Linked DNA regions of Kluyveromyces lactis. The protein of the gene in region 1 interacts with the protein of each later gene in a biochemical or structural test. Links are inferred from orthologs where the notes say so. Each region holds a gene or a part of one and is shown in the gene's direction. Other genes may lie near its edges.

Region 1 (2,834 bases):
CTTGTTTTCTTTGTTGTAATTTGTTCGCGTCTAAACAGTATCGTTTCACGTTAAAGTCCTTAAATTTTACGTGTTTTCCTCAAAGCGATTTCAATCTAGAGAAGAGAAAAGCTATGAACAACTTTTACAGAGATAACACAGAGGGAAAAGAACGTGCTAAAAGACCTGGAACTGGATTCAAGTCATTGGTTTTGATTATCATTGCCATAGTACCGAAAATGTACGGAGATCTCGCTAACAAGTTGATACTAGAAGCAAAGAGAACGCAACAGTTATCTCAAGCTGGATTCAACAAACAGCAATTACCAGTATATCAAGACGAGCTAGTCCGTGGCATCCTGAAAGAGGTTGGATCCCTCAAGAAGAACGTGGATTACCTACGAGAACAGCAGCTTACTGATCAGGATAACAAAGTCGCTCAATGCCAGTACGTCGTTGCTATGCTTTCGATGGAAAGAAACAAAAGATGTCTATTAGCATACCAAAAGATGAGAAGTGAGATGCTAGACTCAATGGTTTGGGATAACAACGGGATGGAATTTTCTTCTGCCATATCAAACCACCCGAATCTATCATCGTTTGATTCCTCTGTTTTATCACATGCAGAACAAGAGTATCTCAAAGAGTATGCACAACTACTTACCGAATTGAAATCGGGAGAACTCTCAGAAATCGATTTGACTGGGATGTTACAACCGCCGAGCGATGTGTTCATCGACGTACGAGTATTGAAAGATGCAGGACAAATAGAAACAGAGTACGGTGTATTCAACCTGATTAAAGATTCCCAATTTTTCGTCAGACAATCCGACGTCGAAAGACTTATACAACAAGGATATCTGCAGAAGATATAGCAAGGCAGCTTTTTTCGCCGAATTCTGCACCTTTCATTGCAATTCTGTAGATATCATTGCTGGTGATATTGCTGATGCAACCGTTCCAAATGCAACTAACTAGCTTTACCTCACTTTCACTATGGGGAATGCACGATTTCTTTTTGGATTTCTTTTTCTTGCAGCTCATCGCCTTCAAAAATTTTTCAGTTTTGTATTTAAGGCAACGAGGCATAAGTAACAGAACAGTACTTGATCTGGAACCAACTTGTTAGAACGGTTATTGGTTTGATTGCATTGAGTATAGTGTACAGCTTATTGGGATATAATATTTGTCACCATACATATACCAAGACTTGTGTTTCATCTTTAGTCTAATTGTTGAGCATATCTTTCCTAATTGTAAAGCTAATAAAATAAAGGATGTCCAAGACTGATGTCACTGATTCTGCTACGCAGAAAAAAGAATTGAACGAGTATGAACAACACTATTTCACCTCTTATGACCATTTCGGTATTCATGAAGAGATGTTGCAAGATACTGTGCGTACGCTTTCGTACCGTAACGCTATAGCCCAAAATAAGGACTTCTTTAAAGGTAAGGTTGTCCTAGATGTTGGATGCGGTACTGGTATTCTATCTATGTTTGCTGCAAAGAACGGTGCTAAGCATGTCATTGGTGTTGATATGTCTAGTATTATTGAAATGGCTAAGCAAATTGTTGAATTGAATGGTCTTTCAGACAAGATCACTTTGTTACGTGGTAAATTGGAAGACGTTGTGTTGCCTTATAAGAAGGTTGATATCATTATTTCCGAATGGATGGGTTACTTCTTATTATACGAATCCATGTTGGATACCGTGTTGTATGCACGTGATAACTACTTGGTCGAAGGTGGGTTGATCTTCCCTGACAAGTGTTCCATTCACATTGCTGGTCTTGAAGATTCTAAGTATAAGGGCGAAAAGCTGAACTTTTGGCAAGACGTTTATGGGTTCGATTACTCACCATTTATCCCATTGGTGAAAAGAGAACCTTTGGTCGATACAGTGGAAAACAGTTCTGTTAATACTACCAAATGTAAATTAATCGAATTTGATCTTAATACAGTGACTATCCCAGATTTGGCATTCCACAGCAAGTTTAAATTGCAGGCAAAGAGACAAGATTTCATTAATGGGTTGATTTCATGGTTCGATATTGAATTCCCAGCACCAAAGGGTAACAAACCTGTCACTTTCTCCACTGGTGCCCATGCTACATACACCCATTGGAAACAAACCGTCTTCTATTTGGAAGACGATTTGGAATGTGAAGCTAATGATATCCTAGAAGGTGAATTGACCTGTTTACCAAACAAAGATAACAACAGAGATTTGGATATCAAGATCGTGTACAATTTCAAGGCCTCTGGTCCAGACGGTAAAGAAAGGTCAAGAAAGGGTACCAACACTTACTTGATGCATTAAAATAGTAGCTATGTTGTTTTTCTTACTCAGTCCATTATTTGGGGCCCTTTTTACGTAAACTATTCGTTTACTATTCCCATTGAGGCTCAGATCACCTTCAGATTATGTTTATTACTTGGTTAATTCTGAAGGAATGCAGCTCTTTCAACCTTTCAATGCCTTCGATTCCATTGTGAACTTCACTATTATCATTAACATTAAGAAACAAAGATAAAATAAAAAGGAAATGAAAGCCCCTCTCGCAATTCCAAGCAGTTTGTAACAGTACTTAGCAACCACACCCAATTATTTCCTGCTTAGGCTTCAAGATTATATAATTCTCTATGTATTATATTTTGCAAATTTGATAAGCATTATAGACAAATGTTCACTCCGCCTCTTGCAATAAGAAAAAGACAACGCTCGCTAAAACAATGAATGATTTGAGAGACGCTACATAGAGATATATACGTAGAAACTAATTTTAGTCTATAAGCAGAGCTCAAGCTCTCTCACAACAAGATTGTTTTGGGATTGGGAAGAAGTAGCAAT
Region 2 (3,559 bases), on another chromosome or scaffold:
ACTGTTCAAACTCGGGATGAGCTTGGACACTCTTGTGCAACGACTCATAAGTATTACCTTCACCCCAGTACTCATAAATGGCTCTTGTAAGCACCGATCTCCTAATCCAATCACTGGCTTGCTTATCATTTTCCAAGGTAACTATCATGAATGGTGAATCGACAGAATAACTCGAAAAGTCGACATCAACTCCATGCAGATCCGCTAGTGATTCCAATTCTGCTAGACGGAAATTTAAGTGCACCTGCACCATAAACAAAAGATACCGCTTCCTAGCCATAGATGATGGTTATAACTGGCGTTTGTATTAATTCTAAATCCGGAAGTACGAAAAGTGATTAACTGAGAAGTCGCACTTTCGATTAAAGAGGATCTCATCTCATCGCAGCTCATCTCGATATTTCGCTTTCTCTGCATGTTTAGCTGAAGTCGGCGTTGAATGAGTAAAGAAAGGTATATAGGATTTCATTACCCGGTGTTTCTGATTGTTTGGGCGCAGTTTTGGGACGAGTTGTCAAAAAGTTTCTTTTTTTGCAAGGCGAAATCGACAAAATGACAACCAAAAAGGCCCTAAAGCATGAATTTTTCACTAAGAACAGCGAATAATTTTTGGGGCCAAGTTGTTGCCATTGGAAAAAAAAAAAAATTAATTTGAATATAAAAGCAGTACAGGAGAAAAATTGAAGGGGCAGAATGTTTCTTCCTGTTTGTTTACCACTTTCCAGGTGATTAGACAGTCTAAAGAGATAATCAAGTCACTAAAACGAGTTAGGGAAGGATATAGGATTCAAAAGTATAGAAGTACCCGTATATCATTAGCGAATCGAAATAATCAACGGAACAAAGAATATTTACACTGTATTTTTTCTTTTTCTTTTCATTTATAAGATACCGATTGTTTTCAATAGAGTTTTAGAAATTGCAAACTAGGAGAGAGGAACCATTGTTACCGGAAATAGCTCATATTTGTTTTATTTTCGTACTGTATTAGATCTCAGTTATTACTTTATTATCGTCTACTACTACTTTTAACGTATAACATTAAACTTTGCTGTGTGTTGCTGTGTTTAAGCTATAAAATCCCCATACAGACAAAAAGAACAAGGATCATTTAAGTAGAGCGGAAGAGGAACGGCGCAGGAAACTTACACAGCGTTATCGTACTTATATTTACAAACGTTTACTGCAGATTTATCATATTTAGTGTACAGAACTAAGAAAATCCAAGTGGTAAAGTGAACGGTGCAACAAGTAGACGAATAAGAAGAAATTGAAATATTGCATTCAAGATGAGTTTATCAGACGATGAAGATTTTAACGACATCTACGGTGATGAAAATACCGCTCAAACCACGGTGAACAATAACGAGTCGACTTCATCAACTGCAACATCTACAGATAATCAAAATAATACTCAAAGTAATAATAATCAAAATAACGTTAGTAATAGCTCGACAGATGATCACAAAGATCAAGCTTCAACTACCAATAAAGAGGCTAATAGTAGTAGCACAAACACCACCGCGGCAACATCTCAATTAGATCAACTAGCAGCTTTACAGGCTTTGTCATCTAACCTGTCACAACTGCAACAGCAGGTTGCCTCTTCAAATAATCAACCAGATTCTAATCTTGCATCCAATAATGACAAGGCTGAAAACAATAACAAGGAAAACTACAGTGCTTCCGTTCCTGAAATGCTGCAGATGCCTCAAATGCCACAGATGCCAGGTATGCCAGATATGTCACAGTTGCAACAATTGCAACAGACTATGTCTCAATTGCAACAAACTGCATCTCAGCATGAACCAAAGGCTATCAAAGCTGATTTGTCTCGTGACATTAACAAGATGTTCATTGGTGGTCTAAATTGGGAAACCACCGAAGAGGGTTTACGTGATTACTTCAGCAAATACGGTGCAGTCGCTGAAGTTAAGATTATGAAGGACACTGCTACCGGTAGGTCCAGAGGTTTTGGGTTCTTGACATTTGAAAACGCTTCTAGTGTCGATGAAGTCGTTAAAACACAACATATCTTAGACGGTAAGGTTATCGATCCAAAGAGAGCCATTCCAAGGGAAGAACAAGATAAGACTGGTAAAATTTTCGTTGGTGGTATTGGTCCAGACGTCAGACCAAAAGAATTTGAAGAATTTTTCTCTCAATGGGGATCCATCATTGATGCCCAACTAATGTTAGACAAAGATACTGGTAGATCTAGAGGCTTTGGTTTCATTACTTATGATACACCAGATGCAGTTGACAGAGTTTGTCAAAACAAATTTATTGAGTTCAAGGGTAAACAAATAGAAATCAAGAGAGCTGAACCTAGACAATTACAAAAGCAAAAACAACCTCAAATGACTCAACCAATGGGACAAAATATGAGCAACCCAATGCAACAGTATCAGATGTTCCAAAATCCAATGATGGCAGGCGGTTTCAATCCTATGATGGCCACTGGTTTCAACCCTCAATCGATGAACGAATACTACACTAAGATGCAAGAGTATTATCAACAAATGCAACAACAAACTGGTATCGATTATACTCAAATGTTCCAACAGCAAATGCAACAAATGCAACAGATGATGGGTATGATGGGCGGTCTTCCTGCAGGCCAACAACCTTCTCAAAGTGGTGCAGGATCTCCACCAAGCCATTCATCCACCCCTCAACACAACGACGACAGTAATGGTGTCACTACTATTGGGAGCTCAAATAATGGCAACCGTAGTAACAGTGGAGTAGAATCTGGAGATGACTCAAGATACGATAATTCATCAAGCCGTGATGATTCTCGTCGTTCAGGACACAGAGCATACGATCGCAACTCTGATCGTAGCAGTTATGGCTCGTCTAACCGCGACCGTGACAGCTGTCGTGGCCCATCTTCAAACTATCGCGGAGGTGGTGGCCGTGATCGTGATTCCCGCCGTGGTGGTAATGGGTATGGCGGTGGAAGCAGAGATAGACGTGGATACCACCCATACGCCAGGTAATCTGCTTGTATGTTAGATTTATTATAAGGTAAAGAAATCTGCGTATGTAGCCGCGAGCAAGAGGATACTTTGTGTTACTTGTTATATTTGCGATCCATCCATTTCTTTAACTGAGCCTCTCATAACCATGTAATAATAGAAATATAATGAAAGCAATGATTCCTAAGCATCGGATCAAATCACATTCCTTGCTGCAAATGTCACACAATATTTTACCATACTCTGTTTACCTGATTCATGAACGTTAACACGAAGCATCAACGCAATTTTATTCAACTTTTATTGCTAATCAAAGCTTAATTTTATATAATAACATGTAAATCAGTATATATCAATCAAACTTACAGTTTATCAACTACTATTCAACCTGACATTGGACCTCACACCGAATGGTCAGTGTGTGTATATACAGTTGTCAGTATTCATGTATATTTGGTACAGGTTAGGTTGCTTCTCAATCTGATTTTGAATATAGGCAAAAGTGAAAAAATATCAAAATCAATTCCAATTTGACATATACTAGCATTCACAATTACACATGCTCATAGGAATAGAAT
Region 3 (3,195 bases), on another chromosome or scaffold:
AACCAACTATTGAATCAAGTATTGAAACAAATGTTGAGGCAAGTACTGAATCAGGTACCACCGAAACAACAGAGATCTATTCCACACCACTTTCAGAAACTACCATCACATCAGAGAACTGTTATGGAACACGCTGTACGACTGTTACAAGTACAGTCACTGTTCCAGTCACTGATCTAACAACTTCAACTTCACCATCAAACTCTTCACCATCATCAGCACCAAATGAAACTACGGAACCTATGGAACCTTCATTGGAATCTTTTACCTCTCAAGCACCAAAAACAGACACAGAACAAAGTTCTTCTACGGTAAGCTTTGGAGCAGTTTCTTCGATTTCAATATTTCAAGGTGTTGCTTCTTCCATAAACGCAAGATCTTCAACAATATTTGGAGTATTTCTGGGATTAATCTCTCTACTCTGAGTTTATTGCGAAGAATAAATACAATTGAGAAATTATTATCGGGCATCAATCTCATCGTATTTAAAGCTCTAACCCAACACTAACCATTTCAAGTTCATTCTTACCTTCAATTTTGACACAAACATTAATTTAAACACTGATATATCTGCATCTCTATTTCTCCTGTTTTACTTAAAGGAAGCAAATCCTTTGACCCTAAATATTTTTTCCCATGTTCTTTCAACACAAGGTGGGTGCACTATCGATTATAAAAGTCTCTCGGTTTTTTTCTATAAGTATATTGGGCAATGAACTAAGAAATTATTGAGGACAATTATAAAGTGTATTTTGTGACGTATACCTTTATGTACTTTTTAATAGATTACAAACTAACATCAATACTCTCTCGTAATTTAAAACCATTTTCACTATAATTTAATAACTATATGTCATGAATATCTGCTTTGTAGGTTTTCTTCATCTATTCATCACTGATTATTCACAGTTGACATTTCATCAACTGCCATCGGATCAGAGGAATACAACCTTGGAGAGAACGCAGTCGCGCGCCAGAAATTAAAAGAACCCATACCTCGCACCAAATTATCACGAATTTTCATGGTAATTTCTTTTCAATAAAAAATGTGATGAAAAGTTTTTTCAGTGAAAAAAACCCAAACAAAAACGGAAAAGAAACGATTTAAGTGAAAAATTATTGTCTCTGTACTCTTCAGCTCATCGCATTGGAAAAAGAAGTTTGTTATAAGAGAAGATAAGTTATACCTGCTCAGTAACACTTCTTCATTAACTAACATTTATTGATATAACGCTATTTTGAAACGCAATTCTTGTAGCATCGAGTCTTGTTGATTATCTATTAACAGAGTACAGAATAATATCATCGCTCAAACATACAATTCACATAATGGGTAAATCAACTGACAAGAAGGTTTCCAAGAAGGTTTCCAAGAAGGACCTAAAGCTAAAAAAGAAGCAAGATGAAAAGAAGGTGAAGGCTGTTGAACCAGAATCTAGCTCCGATTCCAGCTCTGATTCTAGCTCTGATTCTAGCTCTGATTCTAGCTCTGATTCCTCTTCTGATTCCGATTCTTCTTCCTCTTCTGACTCTTCTGACTCTTCTGACGAAGAAGAAGAACCAAAGAAGGAAACTAAGAAGGAAGAATCTTCCTCTGATTCCGAATCCTCTTCTGATTCTGATTCCGAATCTGAAAAGGAAGAAGCTAAGAAAGAAGAATCCTCCGATTCTGACTCTTCTTCCGACTCCTCCTCAGACTCCGACTCTGATTCTGACGAAGAAGAAGAAAAGAAGGAGGAAAAGAAGAAGGAAGAATCTTCCGCTTCTTCATCTGATTCTGATTCTTCATCTGATTCTGACTCTTCATCTGATGACGATGAAGAAGAGGAAAAAAGCTCTAACAAGCGTAAGGCTGATGATGACGAAGAGAAATCTGAAAGCAAAAAGCCAAAGACTGAATTGGCTGGTGAACCAGCTACTATTTTCGTTGGTAGACTATCATGGTCCATTGACGATGAATGGTTAAAGACCGAATTTGAACCAATCGGTGGTGTCATTAGTGCCAGAGTTATGTACGAAAGAGGTACTGACAGATCCCGTGGTTATGGTTATGTCGATTTTGAAGACAAATCCTACGCTGAAAAAGCTATCAAGGAAATGCACGGTAAGGAAATTGACGGAAGACCAATCAACTGTGATATGTCTACCTCGAAGCCAGCTGGTGCTCCAAGAGACGACAGAGCAAAGAAGTTCGGCGACGTTCCATCTGAACCATCTGACACTTTGTTCTTGGGTAATTTGTCTTTCGAAGCTGACAGAGACAACTTGTACGAGATCTTTGGTAAATATGGTGAAATTGTTTCTGTTCGTATCCCAACTCACCCAGAAACTGAACAACCAAAGGGTTTCGGTTACGTTCAATACGGTAGTATTGAAGATGCCACTAAAGCCTTTGAAGGTCTACAAGGTGAATACATTAATAACAGACCAGTCAGATTAGACTACTCCATTCCAAAGCAAAACTTCGGCAACAACCAACGTGGTGGTTTTAACAGAGGTGGTTCTGACAGAGGTGGAAGAGGCGGTAGAGGCGGCAGCAGAGGCGGTAGAGGTGGCTTCGGTGGTAACAGAGGAGGTAGAGAATTCAGTTCCGGTTCTAACGCTTCTCCTCTAGGAGCTACCAGACAAACTGCTTCCTTCCAAGGTACCAAAAAGACCTTCGATTGAATTTTTGAATACTTAATACACAAGAGTTAAACAAAGTTCATTCCTCAAAGTCGAAAACACTTTTCATTATCATCCTAACATGCTCTTGGGAATAAAGAAGATCATTTCTCATCCATTGAAACAATAGAGTGTCAAAAAATAAAAATAAAAAAAAATTAAATCACAAGAATAACCATTCGTCATCTTATTTGTATCTATAGATCAACAACTGATTCATTGTAAACTTCACTGAATCGCATTCATCTTCTATTTTCTTATTTTATTTTCTTTAAATCATTTGTATATGTGTGTATAGTAGCTTTTAATATTTTTTGAACTAGAAGTCTGCGAAGAAGGTCTATGGAAAAGAGTCTCGAATCTGTGCATTTTGTAAAATTAAGCTTCATCTTTGAATCTTGTTTTAAAGGTGTAGAAAAAAGAGAAGACAAGTTTCAAGACAATTGACTGCATTACAGAATCCCTTAATACACTCGTATGACAGTCGTAACCCACCTCAAAAGATATGGACAATTTGAGAGCCACACATAC
Region 4 (2,979 bases), about 540 kb from region 1:
TGGATACTTGACCCTTCATTTCATTGTATACAACACCTTTGAAACCTATATCGCTGTTTGGATCATCAACCTTAGTGTGTTCAAGCCTCCAACCTTCTTGTAGGAAATCTTGCTGATTCAACAATGGATTTAGAGTTGCATCAAGGTAAACGTCTCTTAGATTAGCAAAATCCGTCTCATTAGTGGTAGCAAACGGGTAAAAAGTATAGTCATGACCAGTCATAGCGTTCATGAAGTTTGCCAACGATCTGTTTAACATCTTGAAGAACGGATCGCGAACAGGATACTTATGAGAACCGCAAAGAGTTGTGTGTTCCAAAATATGTGGCACACCAGTTGAATCCGGGGGATTGGTTTTGAATCCGATACTGAACACGTTGTTGTTATCATCTCTATCAATATGTAAATGTTGTGAACCGGTTTGGTTATGCAATAAATCCACGGCTGTTAGCTTTAGTTCAGGGACAGGAAGTAATCGTTTCACTTCATATCCGTGAAAAACGCCACCTACTGGGTACTTCCTCAGCGCCCGAGACTGTGCATATTTTGTGGCATAGTTACGAATTTGAAACATGGTATTTTATAATGCAAGAATTCTCCACCTGGATTTAGATTCAATATTCCTTCGCTTATATTTCAAACCCAGTTTTTTCGATCTTGGTATATTAATCAATGATTACTGTCGTCAACGATTCTATAACGATTTATTGCGAATAAATAGATAAAAGAAATGCAAAGAGAAAACGAACGGTCAAAATATCGGAAATATCCCCTCTAAACTGCTAGTTCGCTTGGCTTTTCGTTTCTTGCCTCTGAGATAAATTCGCTAAATTGACTTATCAATATGTTAAGAGACCTTTGGCATGCTCTAGTATCTTTCCTCCAGGATTCCATACTATCGAAGAAAAACAGCTATGAACTACGGTCTCACTTCTGACGAGTTAAAAAAATGAAAAACTGAAGTTCAAGTCACGTGATACATGTGTCACTCTTACCTTTCTGTATAACAATGGTAAATACAAGTAGCAATGAGAGCATTTGATCAATATAGCCTCTCAGATCGTATTTGGTAGGAGTATGACTTGTATGAGGGCTTATATCTGTGCATGCGATACTTATCAGCACTCATTCTAAAAAGACTTGTACCGAGGATTCCAGAGTTTTACCCTACCTACCAAACCTTGTTTGACACTATTCTCTTCTGTCTTTTCTTTTCCCGATGTTCATTTAAAATTTTCACTTTCTCCTATATATAAAGACATATTTAAAACCTGGTTTTTGGAAAAAAAATTCTACTCCATCATCGTTGAGTGGCGTTGCAGTATTGTTTTTGACTAAGATATTAGTGTTTCACTTCTTTTGCTCAAGGTACAACCAAGAACACTTACTCGCGAAATATCAAGATGTCTGACGTTCCTCCTCCTCCAGCTGTCGAAGAAGAAACCTATGAAAAGCCATATGAAAAGCCATATGAAAAGCCATATGAAACTGCTCCACCACCTCAAAGTTATGAAAATTTCAATAATAGAGTTGATGACGATGAAGAGCTTTCTGATACCAGACTATTTGTGAAGCCTTTCCCTCCAGATGTCACTGATGCTGAAATGAAGGAAATTTTCGAACCTTTCGGTGCTTTGAAGGAAATAAAGATTTTAAATGGGTTCGCTTTTGTTGAGTTTGAAGAAGCTGAGTCTGCTTCCCAAGCTATTCAAAACGTTGCCGGTAAAATGTTTGCCGACTACCCATTGGAAGTTGTATTTTCCAAGAAGTTAAAGCCAAGATTCAGAGTCATTATCAGAAACTTGCCAGAAGGCTGTGCTTGGCAAGAATTGAAGGATTTGGCCAGAGATAACCAGTTAGAAACTACTTTCTCCAGTGTCAACACCAGAGACTTTGACGGTACTGGTGCTCTTGAATTCCCAACCGAAGAGATCCTGCAGGAAGCCATTGAAAAGTTGAACAACATCGAATTCCGTGGTTCAGTTTTGGCTGTTGAAAAAGATGAAAACCCACCACCAATCAGATCCTCTCGTGGTCGTGGTGGTTTTAGAGGCCGTGGCGGTTTCGGTCGCGGTGGCTTTGGTGGCCGTGGTGGTTTCGGCGGTCGCGGTGGTTTCGGCGGCCGTGGAGGCTTCGGTGGTCCAAGAGGTGGCTTTGGTGGCCGTGGCGGTTTCGGCGGTCGCGGTGGCTTTGGCGGTCCAAGAGGTGGCTTTGGCGGTCGCGGTGGCTTCGGTGGTCCAAGAGGCGGTTTCCGTGGTGGCCGTGGTGGCTACGGTGGTCCAAGAGGCGGTTACGGTGACTTTGGTGGTCGTGGCGGTGGTTACGGTGGCCGTGGCGGTTACGGTAACAGAGACTACGCACCAAGAGAAGACTACCAAAGAGGCAGCGGAGAAGGCTACCAAGCGCGTGAAAGATCTCCAGTTAGAGATTAGAGGATTTCTGGAGTGCACAAATAGCTTTCATCTAAGAATGTTGTGAAATTACTTCAAGCATCAAACCGTGTGTCCCTACCATTATCATCGGAGTTGGTATTAGCTTTCTTTTGTCACTTTTAACAGAATTATTATGCTTACTATCTTAGGGAGTTATAAGCTCTTGTTTTCGCCCGTTGTTTTCATACTTTGTCGTTACACCAAGAAACCTCTGAACTTTACTTGGAATTTGAATTTACTCACAATTGTTGGGAATGAATTGAAGGTATCAACCTTGATGGATTGAGAATAAAAAAAAAAATTAAATATTAGTATAGGAAAAACCTCCCATCATCAGGAAAAAATCTTTTTACTTGTGGATCCGAACAGAACATCAAGGATCGTGAGGAGAAGGAAAAAATGATTATGTTTTTATAGTGGATTATTATTGTATTGTTTTATTATTTATCTTTGCGACTAGAAAAGAGGTCTTCCAGAGTAAGGAAGAAGTAGTGATGATCATGGAAATCAATTTCGCGAGGGAAATTGGTTGTGTTTTGTAACTGTG

What was found.
Region 2: of the proteins of HMT1 (region 1) and HRP1, one has a biochemical effect on the other in vitro, tested with the Saccharomyces cerevisiae proteins (4 studies listed by BioGRID). The link is inferred for Kluyveromyces lactis from reciprocal best matches to the Saccharomyces cerevisiae genes HMT1 and HRP1.
Region 3: of the proteins of HMT1 (region 1) and NSR1, one has a biochemical effect on the other in vitro, tested with the Saccharomyces cerevisiae proteins (2 studies listed by BioGRID). The link is inferred for Kluyveromyces lactis from reciprocal best matches to the Saccharomyces cerevisiae genes HMT1 and NSR1.
Region 4: of the proteins of HMT1 (region 1) and NPL3, one has a biochemical effect on the other in vitro, tested with the Saccharomyces cerevisiae proteins (12 studies listed by BioGRID, with this or other methods). The link is inferred for Kluyveromyces lactis from reciprocal best matches to the Saccharomyces cerevisiae genes HMT1 and NPL3.

Annotation. Positions count from the first base shown.
Region 1 is NC_006038.1:617,112-619,945, forward strand, and holds HMT1 (protein-arginine omega-N methyltransferase HMT1), read left to right. Parts: upstream 1-1,256; coding exon 1,257-2,303; downstream 2,304-2,834. Other genes in the region: DNA replication protein PSF1, read left to right, coding at 219-854. UniProt on the Saccharomyces cerevisiae protein: S-adenosyl-L-methionine-dependent protein-arginine N-methyltransferase that catalyzes both the mono- and asymmetric (type I) dimethylation of the guanidino nitrogens of arginine residues in a variety of RNA-binding proteins such as heterogeneous nuclear ribonucleoproteins (hnRNPs) and small nuclear ribonucleoproteins (snRNPs).
Region 2 is NC_006039.1:1,093,285-1,096,843, forward strand, and holds HRP1 (Hrp1p), read left to right. Parts: upstream 1-1,289; coding exon 1,290-3,002; downstream 3,003-3,559. Other genes in the region: TRM11 (tRNA (guanine-N2-)-methyltransferase), read right to left, coding at 1-280. UniProt on the Saccharomyces cerevisiae protein: RNA-binding protein, which is involved in the polyadenylation-dependent pre-mRNA 3'-end formation and cooperates with the cleavage factor CFIA complex and the cleavage and polyadenylation factor (CPF) complex.
Region 3 is NC_006039.1:990,304-993,498, reverse strand, and holds NSR1 (Nsr1p), read left to right. Parts: upstream 1-1,329; coding exon 1,330-2,667; downstream 2,668-3,195. Other genes in the region: KLLA0_C11517g (gag-pol fusion protein), read left to right, coding at 1-425. UniProt on the Saccharomyces cerevisiae protein: Involved in pre-rRNA processing. Specifically binds nuclear localization sequences. Candidate for a receptor at the nucleus that may be involved in both RNA and protein transport. Binds telomeric sequences of the type (TG[1-3])n in vitro.
Region 4 is NC_006038.1:76,036-79,014, forward strand, and holds NPL3 (mRNA-binding protein NPL3), read left to right. Parts: upstream 1-1,403; coding exon 1,404-2,432; downstream 2,433-2,979. Other genes in the region: CYM1 (pitrilysin family metalloprotease), read right to left, coding at 1-574. UniProt on the Saccharomyces cerevisiae protein: Involved in mRNA processing and export. Required for efficient splicing of a large set of pre-mRNAs by efficient co-transcriptional recruitment of the splicing machinery. Remains associated with the mRNP during early steps of translation elongation.